Linked DNA regions of Oryctolagus cuniculus. The protein of the gene in region 1 interacts with the protein of each later gene in a pairwise test. Links are inferred from orthologs where the notes say so. Each region holds a gene or a part of one and is shown in the gene's direction. Other genes may lie near its edges.

The links.
Region 2: the proteins of STX11 (region 1) and EIF1AD interact in binary tests that used the Homo sapiens proteins (3 or more experiments, as listed by UniProt). The two-hybrid records come from large-scale screens. The link is inferred for Oryctolagus cuniculus from reciprocal best matches to the Homo sapiens genes STX11 and EIF1AD.

What each region holds. Positions count from the first base shown.
Region 1 is NC_091436.1:24,387,725-24,392,940, reverse strand, and holds the start of STX11 (syntaxin-11), read left to right. Parts: upstream 1-2,112; 5' UTR 2,113-2,252; exon of another isoform or gene 2,253-2,296; intron 2,297-5,216. UniProt on the Homo sapiens protein: SNARE that acts to regulate protein transport between late endosomes and the trans-Golgi network.
Region 2 is NC_091432.1:5,799,879-5,805,298, forward strand, and holds EIF1AD (probable RNA-binding protein EIF1AD), read left to right. Parts: upstream 1-2,166; 5' UTR 2,167-2,208; coding exon of another isoform or gene 2,209-2,213; 5' UTR 2,214-2,649; intron 2,650-3,103; 5' UTR 3,104-3,190; coding exon 3,191-3,277; intron 3,278-3,592; coding exon 3,593-3,701; intron 3,702-3,783; coding exon 3,784-3,892; intron 3,893-3,975; coding exon 3,976-4,026; intron 4,027-4,381; coding exon of another isoform or gene 4,382-4,516; exon of another isoform or gene 4,517-4,526; intron 4,527-4,842; coding exon 4,843-4,981; 3' UTR 4,982-5,131; downstream 5,132-5,420. Other genes in the region: BANF1 (barrier-to-autointegration factor), read right to left, coding at 1,052-1,198, 1,293-1,431, 2,209-2,213.

The sequences.
Region 1 (5,216 bases):
CACACATACCCTCAGGACGAGGACACAATGCAGTAAGGTTCTTTGCATTACAGTCACCACAACTAATGAACACTCCTAGATACTTTACTACTAGCAAAAGCCATACTTTGTTCAGATTCCTTTAGTTTTCGGCTAATATCCTTTTTCTGTCTCAGGACTCCACAGAATATCACACTGTTTCTCGTTCATGTCTCCAGAGGCTCCTGTAGGCAGCAGCAGTTTTTCAGCCTTCCTTGTGTTTGATGATCCTGACTGCTTTGAGTATTGGTCAGGTATTTTGTGGGAGGCCTGGCTATTTCAATTGGTGGATAGTTTTCTCAAGAGACTGTGATGATGGGTTTTGGGGAGGAAGGCCCCAGAGGGAAGGTGCCATTTTCATACCATCATATCAAGGGTACATAACACTAGTATGATTTAAGCTGGCTGATGTCGACCTTGAGCACCACTGTGAAGCTATGCTCTTCTCCCCTGTCCTGGCTATACTTTTTTTTTTTTTTTAAGAGGAACATCACTAAGCACAGCTTACACTAACAGAGTGGAGAGTCGTGGAGAGTTGGTGCTTCTCTTCTGTGACTACGGACCACCTACATAAACTGTTTGCAGTTTTATTTGGGGGGTTTGTCTCTTCTCTTGCACTTACTTGTGGGATCATTCATGTATACTAATGTGGACTCATAGATATATATTTATCTTGGGCTTTACTCCAATACTACCGTCACACCTATGTAAGGACCATTGGGCTAAGGACAGACCCCATATACCACAGTCGCTGTACAACAGACCGGCTGAATAGGAGACTGCTTCATGGGTTTGTGTAAGTATCCTTTGATTTTTGCACAAACAGCACATCAACTATTAAGGCAATTCTCAGAAATGTGCCATCTTTAAATGATGTTTGTTAATTTCTTGCTCAAACCATTCAAGCTTTGGCCTTTGGTTGCTTCTCTTTTTTTTTTTACATTCTCCCATCTTTGTGGGAGTTTGGTTTGTTTGTGTCTCTCTTTCTTTCCCTCCCTTCCTCCGTCCCTCCCTTCCTTCCTTTCTTCCTTTCCCCTCCCTCCCTCCCTCCCTTCCTTTCTTCCTTCCTTCCTTCCATTTATTTGAGAGGGGGAGGAAGAGAGAGAGAGAGAGAGCACGCGAGCGAGCGCACTAGCTTCCATCTGCTGGTTCACTCTCCAAATGGCTGCACTGGCCAGAGCTGGGCCGGTCTGAAGTCAGGAGCCCAGAGCTTCACCTGGGTCTCCCACGTAGGTGCAGGAACTCAAGGACTTGTGCCATCTTCAGCTGCTTTCCCAGGTGCCTTAGCAGGGAGCTGGATAGGAAGTGGAGCAGCTGGAGCACCAACCAGTATCCATATGGGATGCCGGTGCTGCAGGCAGCTAACCCGCTGTGCCACAGCGCTGGCCCTTATTTATTGTGTGTGTGTGTGTGTGTGTTTAATGAACACTATTCTTACCTTTAAGTCTCAGCCTCGGTCTTCAAGGCTCTTCCCACCGCCTTCCACAATACATACGCACTGTATCTGCTTCCCTATTCCCACAAAGACGTCAGAGGCTTGGCAATATTTTGGCCATGGTCGTGTCTCTGGCTCCTCAGTGAATGAATGAACTCAAACTGGCGTTGGCAAAGGTTTGAAGGGTGCCGGTCGGCGTGGGTTCTGGAAAGCCAGTGCCCAGCCATCGTGTGACCTGCAGCCTCGTCTCAGCCGTCCTCTGGCGGCCACACCCACGCTCAGAATTCGCTTCAAGCGTCCTCGCCACGGAAACGCACCCTGCTGCAAATGTCACCAGAGCCGCGGGGTTTCCCCGGGAAAGTCCGGCGCTTCCCGCAGGGGCCCAGAGGAAGGCGGGGGACAGATGATGGCTTCGGGTGGCCAATTACCCCGACCTCACGGGAGCGCCCGGCGGCGCACCGCAGGCGCGCGCGAGCCCCAGGTTCCGGGCAGCCCGGAGCGCACCGGCAGCGGGCGGGGCGGGAACCTGCGCGCGGGCAGCTGGTGGACGCGGCGCCTCCGCGCTGTCGTCCCGGGGCGGGGCCTCGATCCCAGCCGTGGGCTCTTGCGAAGTGTCGGGGGCCGAGCCGGCGGCGCCCAGATGCGGCCTCGGCGGCTCGGAGTTCGGGAGGCGGCGGCTGAGCCCAGCCTCTGGCGCGGGAGGAGCGGAGGCTGTGGGAGGCGGCGAGAGCTGAGCCGCGGAGAGGCGCGCAACAGGTTTTCTCTGCGTCCTGGCGCCCAGCGCGAAGCCGGCGCTCGGGTAAGAGAGCGGCTTCTCAGCTCGCACGGTCGCCCCGGGTCCAGGTTCGTTCCTTCCTGCCTGGGTCTCCTTTTCTGTCCCGAACGCGGGGAGCTGGGAGTGTGGGCCCAAGGAGGGCGGGAGGGGACGCTCACTTGCCCGGCGACAGGATGCTGGGCCCAGGTTTTCGGGTTTGGCCCTGGTCCACCCCTCGCTTCCTGGCCCTTAGGGACGCCACACTGGGTTTCTCGTACGGAGCGCAATGGCTTGTTGTTGGTTCTTATTTATTTCGTTTTTCCAAGGCGAGGGACTGAGGATTTAGTGGGCATTGTTCTCAGAGACACCTGTTGTCTGCCTTCTGCAAGGATCCACCCACCCCACTTTTGTGAAAGTGGGGGCATTACTTCGGCCTGATAAAACGGCTCACTTCCTAGTGGGGTGCACTTTCTCAAAAACAGAATGAGGACCTCTTGACTTGAACTTGACAGCGTGACTCAGGAGCCAGGAAATGCGGACCAAATGATAGCGCTGAGGCGGTTCCTGGCAAGCGCTCGCGACTTTCTCAGAGCACGCAGGCAGAGGCTGCCCCGGAGTGAATTCGCTGGCTGGCGGCGCCCAGAGGACCCTCACCAGGAGCCGCGCTTCTCCCCGCGCTGCGCAGGCCGGCCCGTGCAGAAGCCGTTTCTCAGCAAAGGGAGGAGTTGTTATTTCTACACGGGTCTCCAAAAATGAGTCACAGGGCTGCTCTGTTAATTGTGAGACTTCCTTAAGTAACTTTTGAAACGTGAGGTTTGCTCCGTCTGTCTTTAAAATAACAATACAGATGTGAAATGTATGCACAGCCAAACTGGGGCAGGCGGTTGTCCCAAGTGACAATTCCAGTTTTCAGTTTCCTAGAGCTCCCGTCTGGGCCACACATCAGCCAGGGTCATTTGGGCTGCTCTAAGATAGCCATGGAGATCGCGTGCTTTACCGTAGACGCCCAAGAAAAGGATTTTTTATTTTTTAATTTCAGAGGAAGAGGAAGGGAGTGGGGAGAAAGAGAGGGAGAGAGGGGAGAGAGAGAGGGAAGGGGGGGGGAGAGAGAGAGAGAGCGTGAGAGTGAGAGAGCGCACTTCCATCTGCTGGTTCACTCCCCAGACACCCACAATGGTTTGGGCTGGGTCAAAGCCAGAGGAACTCAATCCAGGACTCCCACGGTGGTGGCAGGAACACAATTACTTTAATCTGCCAGCTGCTTTGGCAGAAACGCAGGAGTCAGGAGCAGGAGCTGGGAATCGAACCCAGGCACTGGAATGTGGTACACAGGTGTCTTAATCTTCTAGGCTAAATGCCCACTGCCACAAGAAAGTGAATTTCATTATTCAATAACTGTCTTTCTACTTTCACTTTATGGCACAAATGCTCGTTTAACAAAATATCATTTAACAAAATGATTATAAATCCCTCTCTGAGATGAAAGTATTTCAGACAGTTAGTTTGCCTTTCCTGAAGCAGTGCTAAAACCACACACAAAATGCCATGCCAGTTGGAGGTGAGAAATTAGAAAGGTTAAGCTGACAGGTCCCACTGCAACTGAGCAGCAGATGTAGGAAGTGGCTGTGCACTAATCCAGCACACAGGAGAGAAGAGAAACAGCTAGCCCCAACCAGAGAGTTACCAAGCACCTTCTCTGTGCTAGCTCCTCCCTGAGCTCTGGTTATACAGCCGTGGAAGGACAGGATCCTTAGAGATGCATGGAAGGCCAACAAATACAGTGGAAAATCCAATATAATGAGGTGAGCGCCATGATCTATCTATGCCCAGCACAGTCTCTGTCCCAACCTGAGTGTTATTTCCTCAGATCTGTGATTTGGAATAGACTGGGTCATTGCTGGGGGAACAAAGAGGGTTTTAAGTTTAGCCATCTAATTGTAGAGAGCTTATTCTTCATTTCATAACAGATTTAATATATATTAATTAGAGAGGCATGATTTCAAGTTGTTTGAATTAACCATATTTCCTATTACTATTATTAAGATTATTTATTTGAGAGACAGAGTTACAGACAGAGAGAGACAGAGAGAAAGGTCTTCCACCTGCTGGTTCACTTCACAAATGGCCGCAACAGCTGCAGCTGGGCCGATCCAAAGCCAAGAGCCAGGAGCTTCCTCCAGATCTGCCATATGGGCGTGGGGGCCCAAGCACTTGGGCCATCTTCCACTGCTTTCCCAGGCCTTTTTTTTTTTTTTTTTTTTGACAGGCAGAGTGGACAGTGAGAGAGAGAGACAGAGAGAAAGGTCTTCCTTTTGCCGTCGGTTCGCCCTCCAATCGCCGCCGCGGCCGGCGCACCGCGCTGATCCAAAGGCAGGAGCCAGGTGCTTATCCTGGTCTCCCATGTGGGTGCAGGGCCCAAGCACTTGGGCCATCCTCCACTGCACTCCTGGGCCACAGCAGAGAGCTGGCCTTCCAGGCCATAATCATAGAACTGGATCAGAAGAGGAGCAGCCAGAATGTGAACCGGCACCCACAAGGGATGCCAGTGCTGCAGGTGAAGGCTTAGCCCACTATGTCACAGAACTGGCCTCCGTATTTCCTGTTATTTAATAACCAGGTAAAAATAAGCCCAGATTATTATCACCACTGGATGATCACAGACACTTTTAGTTATATATCTTTTGAAAACAGAGTGAATAATTAATGAACTATAACTGCTTTTTTTTTTTTTTTTTTTTTTTTTTTTTTTTTTTTTGACAGGCAGAGTGGACAGTGAGAGAGAGAGACAGAGAGAAAGGTCTTCCTTTGCTGTTGGTTCACCCTTCAGTGGCCGCCGCAGCCGGCGCGCTGCGGCCGGCGCACCGCGCTGATCCGATGGCAGGAGCCAGGAGCCAGGTGCTTTTCCTGGTCTCCCATGGGGTGCAGGGCCCAAGCACCTGGGCCATCCTCCACTGCACTCCCGGGCCACAGCAGAGAGCTGGCCTGGAAGAGGGGCAACTGGGACAGAAT
Region 2 (5,420 bases), on another chromosome or scaffold:
CTGGCTCCTGATCAGCACAGCTCCGGCCATTGCAGCCATCTGGGGAGTGAACCATCAGATGGAAGACCTCTCTCTCTGCCTCTCCTCTCTGTTTAACTGGCTTTGACGCCAACTGGGATGCCAGCACCGAATCACAGGGCCAGCGCTCCAGCCCCAGCTCCGCTGACTCTGGTCCCCCGCTGGTCTGTACAGATGCACCAGGTGACAATGCAGGTACTTGGTTCCCTGCCCCAGGTTGAGTTCCAGGCTCCTGGCTTCAGCCTAGCGCAAGCCTGGGTGCTGGGGGCATTCAGGGAGTGGCCATTCGATGGGAGATCTCTGTACCTTCCCCCTACCCCACAAAAATAATCAGGGCTGAAACACAGTCCAAGTATAACTCGGCTGTGACGCCCACACTCGCTCCCCTCCTAAAGGTGACAGGGCACACAGAGGCTGGGGCGGGTGCCGTGATGACTGGCAGGTGCTCTCCCACACCCGGTCCACCCTCTCCCTGGCACCCGACTCCCACTGCTTTTTCCACCAGGTGCTGCCGAGCCTGGCTGTTGACAGACAGCTGCTCCGACACAACCTGTCTGACTCCCAGGCAGAGGTCAGCCCACGCTCTCCCACGTCACCCAGGGATTGGGACACTCGGCGGCACCTGCCCGAGGCCCACGTGGCCGGGGCGGCTGCCAGTTTCGGTGTTCGCCGATAAGGAGTGCGAGACCCAGCGAACCCCCGGGGGGCCGCGGCTCCCGGCCCACTCGCTGCGCGACACACGGAGCACGGTGAAGGCCACTGACTTTATTGATTTAAAAACAGGACAGTGACGGTTCTGCCACACAGGGAGCCAAACGGCAAACAGACCGGAGGTGCGGGAGGGGCGGGAAGCCGCGGTCGCGGTGGGACCGGCAGGGGACTGCGGGGAGCGGCATGCAGGAGTGAGCTCCGGAGCCGTGGCAACGGTGAGGGCGGGCGGCGGGCGTCGCAGGTGAACAACCTTTTCCCATGAGGCGCACAGGGCCGAGCCCCCTCCGCTGCAGACTCCGGGCCGGGGGGCTCCCCGGGCGGCTCACAAGAAGGCGTCACACCACTCCCGGAGGCACCCGAAGCAGTCCCGGGACTGCTTGGCGTTGGCGCCACAAGTGTCCTTCAGCCACTCCCGGAACAGGTCCTCGTCTTTCTTTAGCACCAGAAACTGGCCAAGGACCACGTAGGCCTGCAAAACACAGGGAGAGACGGCCAGTGCCCCCGGGCCGCTCCTCCGGCTTCAGGGTCACAGGCCCCGCCCCGGCCCGGCGGCCACCCCGCACCTTGTCGAACCCCCTTTCCTCCAGCTTCTTCCCCAGGACCTCGCCGATGCCGGCCAGGCTGCCCACCGGCTTCTCCCCCATGGGCTCCGCCACGAAGTCCCGGTGCTTTTGCGACGTCGTCATCTTGCTCGGGCTTAATCTGGGAATCCCAAGAGAAGCCGGGTTAGGGCCTGCGGGCAGCTCACGCGGAGGGGCAGCCAGGCCAGCCGCGGGGCGAGTCCCCCCGGCTCATCTCCCCGATGAGAGAACGGGGGTCCGGGGGGGGTCTTTCTGCCACTACTCCAGAGGACCCCGCCCACTTCCCGCGGGAGCGGGGTTTGCCGACATCCCAGAAGGAAACACTCTCGCGGCCGAACAGGTGGCGCGCGCGGGTTCCCGGGCCCGGGAGCTGCCACTCCTCCTGTGACCTTGGCTGGGCAAAGCCGCTGACCCCGCCTGGGACCGGACAGTCACGTGGCACGCCGCGCCCTGACCCACCCGGCCGCCGCAGCCCCCTCGCCGCGCGAACGCGCAGCCCCGCAGCGTCCACGCCGCGCGCGCCGCCGCGCCGGCCCCGCCCCCCGGCGCGCGCCGCCCCGCCCCCGCCGCGCTCCACGGCTCCCACGCGCCGCCGCCCGCCCGCTGCGCGGCCCGGCCGGCCCGGGGCCGCGTCCTCCGGCCCGCCGCGGCGCCTGGGCCCGCCCGCCTCCCCGCGCCTCCTCCGGCCCCCAGCCGCGGCCCTGCTCCGCGGCCCGCGCGCACCGGCAGCTCCGGCTCCCGCAACGGCTCCTCCCGCCACCCGGCCGCTCCCGCCGCTCAAGCCACTAGAACTTTCTTCGACTTCCGCTTCCGGGTCGCCTCGGGGGCCGCCTTAAAAAATAGCCAAATTGGGCGCGTCTATCCCCTCCGAGCCACAGAGTGGAGACGCGCCCCCCACCCCATGTCCCGAGCCTGCAGGGCGTCCTTAACGCCCCCTCGCGGGAAGCCGGCTCGTCCCCGCCGCCTCACTTCTCGGGCCTCTCCTTGGCGTGCGGGAGAGGACTGTCGGGGGAAGACTTTCTCTCTGCTGCCCGACACGCGGAACGCAAGGGCTTGGGCTTGACTGACCTGGCGAGGGGAAGAGTTAGAGGGACGGACGAGGGAGGGGACGGGTGAGCGGACGGCTTCCGGGGGAACGGCGGAAGTTCAGTTCCTGGAAGGGACTGAGTTGGACTGCGGGGACCGGGGACGCCGGGGGCCGGAGCACAAGCGGACGGCGCTGTCTGACGGCCGGCAGCTGCTGCTTGTGTGCTTTCGTCGGCTCAGCGTTGAAGTGTGGGCGTCCAGCCTGGCGACGTGGGGGTTTCTCGGACAGCACCCGGAAAGCGAGGGCCGGAAAGTAAGCTTGGTCTATCCGAGGGTCTGTCCTCCGAGCTGGAGGGGCAGGAAGACGGGGTGGGGGGAGGGCGGCAGCTGCAGGCGGCACGTCGGAGGTCGGAGTGCCCCCAGCCTCGTGGTACCCGGACCCGCCCCCTGGCCAGCTCCCAGGTGCGGCAGGTGCGGCTGGCCAGGGCCGCGGCCCCCTCGTCCGTGCCCAGCGGCGCTGGACCGGGGCGTGCCTGCGTGCTGAGGACGGCACCGCCCGGAGAGGGCGCGGAATGGCTTTTCTGGACCCCGCGCGCAGCTGTGTGGTCATCCCGGCGTCGAAGGGAACAGGAGTCCACCTTCCGCGGCTGCTCCGGGCCGTTTTCGTTATCTCGCCCTCTGACGATCTGAGCCAACTCTTGGGGCCCAGGGAAGCGAAGGCAGCCAGGTAGGCGTCAGGGCCCCTCACCACGGCGCTCTCCCCTCAGTAACACGTCGCGTCCTGGCTCCGGAGCCTGCCAGTCCGGGGGATCTGGCGCTGTCTGCGGCCCTGCCCGCCCTGGCCAGGACCCAGCATGTCTCAGGCCACCAAGAGGAAGCACGTGGTGAAGGAGTTGCTGGGGGAGCCCGTGGTGCCCTCGGAGCAGCAGCAGATCGTGAGGGTGAGCGGCGGGCCCCCGCCCCGCCCTGGGCCCCGTCCCGCCCTGCCCCCCGCCCCGCCCTGGGCCCCGCCCCGCCCTGCCCTGCCCTGGGCCCCCGTCCCGCCCTGCCCTGGGCCCCTGCCCCGGCCTGCCCCCCGTCCCGCCCTGCCCCCCGCCCCGCCCTGGGCCCCCCGTCCCACCCTGCCCTGGGCCCCCGTCCCGCCCTGCCCTGGGCCCCCGCCCCGCCCTGGGCCCGTGGGTGCAGGAGGGCGCCGTGCGGCTCGCGGGCTGTGAGCTCTGGTGAGGCAGACTGGTGCCTGCTCTTTCCCGGACCAGGTCCTCCGGACCCCCGGGAACAACCTGCACGAAGTGGAGACGGCCCAGGGGCAGCGCTTCCTGGTCAGCATGCCCTCCAAGTACCGGAAGAACATCTGGATCAAGAGAGGTGAGGGGCGGCCCCGCGGCGGCCGAGCCGGCCGAGGCTTTCCCGGAGGGGCAGGACTGACGGCTCTCCTGCTCCGCCCCAGGAGACTTTCTCATCGTCGACCCCATCGAGGAGGGCGAGAAAGTGAAGGCTGAGATCTGCTTCGTGCTCTGCAAGGACCACGTGCGCTCCCTGCAGAGGGAGGGGCGATGGTAGGCGGGGCCACCGCGCTAGGGAACGGGCCCGGCGAGACGTTGCCTCGTCCGCTCTGACCCTGGTCCTTCCCTTGGCACAGGCCGGAGGCCTTCTCTGCAGTGGCGGAGGACCACAGCAACAGCAGGAGCAGGTGAGAAACAAGCGACCCCTCCCGTGTGAGCTGGCGGGCAGACCCCTCCCGTGTGGGCGGGGGCGAGGCCTGGCGGGCAGACCCCTCCCGTGTGGGCGGGGGGTGGGTGAGGCCTGGCGGGCAGCCCCCTCCCGTGTGAGCTGGCGGGCAGACCTCTCCCGTGTGGGCGGGGGGTGAGGCCTGGCGGGCAGACCCCTCCCCTGTGGGCGGGGGCGAGGCCTGGCGGGCAGACCCCTCCCGTGTGGGCGGGGGGGGGGGGGGGGGGGTGAGGCCTGGTGGGCAGCCCCCTCCCGTGTGGCCTGGCGGGCAGCCCCCCTCATGGATGTCAGCTTGTGTCCCGGCTGCTCCCCTTCAGTGCAGCTCCTCTAGGGGTTTGGGAAGAGCAGTGGAAGGTGGCCCACGTGGGAGTCCGGATGACGCCCAGCCCGGCCGCGGCAGCCATCTGGGGAGTGACCAGATGTCTGTCTCTGTGGCTCTGACTTTCAGATAAATCTCGGGGGGTAAGAAGACAAGCCTTAGGGTGGGGGAAACAAACAGGGTTCACGCTGGTGCTGTTGAGGGAAAGTACAGCTTCTTTCCCCCGTGACGGGGTGCTGGGGGAGAGCCCCACATGCGTGGAGTGATAGGTGGGTGTGTCGCTGTTGGGAAGCCAGGTGCCCTGGGTTTTCCCACTGCTGCTGTGACCCCGTCTTTCCCCTTGGTCTTCAAGGCAGCACTGTGCTTTGGTGGGCCGGTGGTCTTCCTTTTGTGGGACTTCTTGGCTGCAGAATGGTTTTCCCCGAAGATGTTGGGCTGAGTGTCCTCTTCCGCCCACAGACAGACTCAGCCCGAACTCCCAGCCGAGCCGCACTCGCAGGAGTCCAGCTCTGAAGACGACTCTGACCTCTTCGTCAACACCAACCGCAGGCAGTACCACGAGAGCGAGGAAGAGAGTGAAGACGAGGAGACGGCCTGAGGCCAGGGACCGCCCTCCGCTGCTCAGGGACGAGGCCCTGGCTCCCCTGGGCTTGGACATTCCAGGTGCCCTGGATGGGAGAGAGGCAGGCGCCCTCTCTCACCGATTCTCTCGCAGGCGAATTAAACCCCCGGTGGGCGGTGACCTGCACTGGTGTCTGAGTGGCTCTCTGCCGGGGGGGACTGGATGCAGTCTCGGGGGAGACCCTCTGGCCGCTGGGTGGGAAAGAAATGGCAAATGGCCGAAGTCTCCTGAGGGCTTTATTTGCTCTGTTCTCTCTCCTGGGACGCTGAGAAAGCGCCAGGCCCTGGGCGCTGCCTCCTCGCGCCGTGTAACCACGGGGACCGGCTGCACTGGATGCGCTGTTTGCCGCCGGTACTGATGCAGGCTCTCAGGGTTGCGGCCCGAGGAGCTGGTCCCCACCGCCTCCGAGAGACAC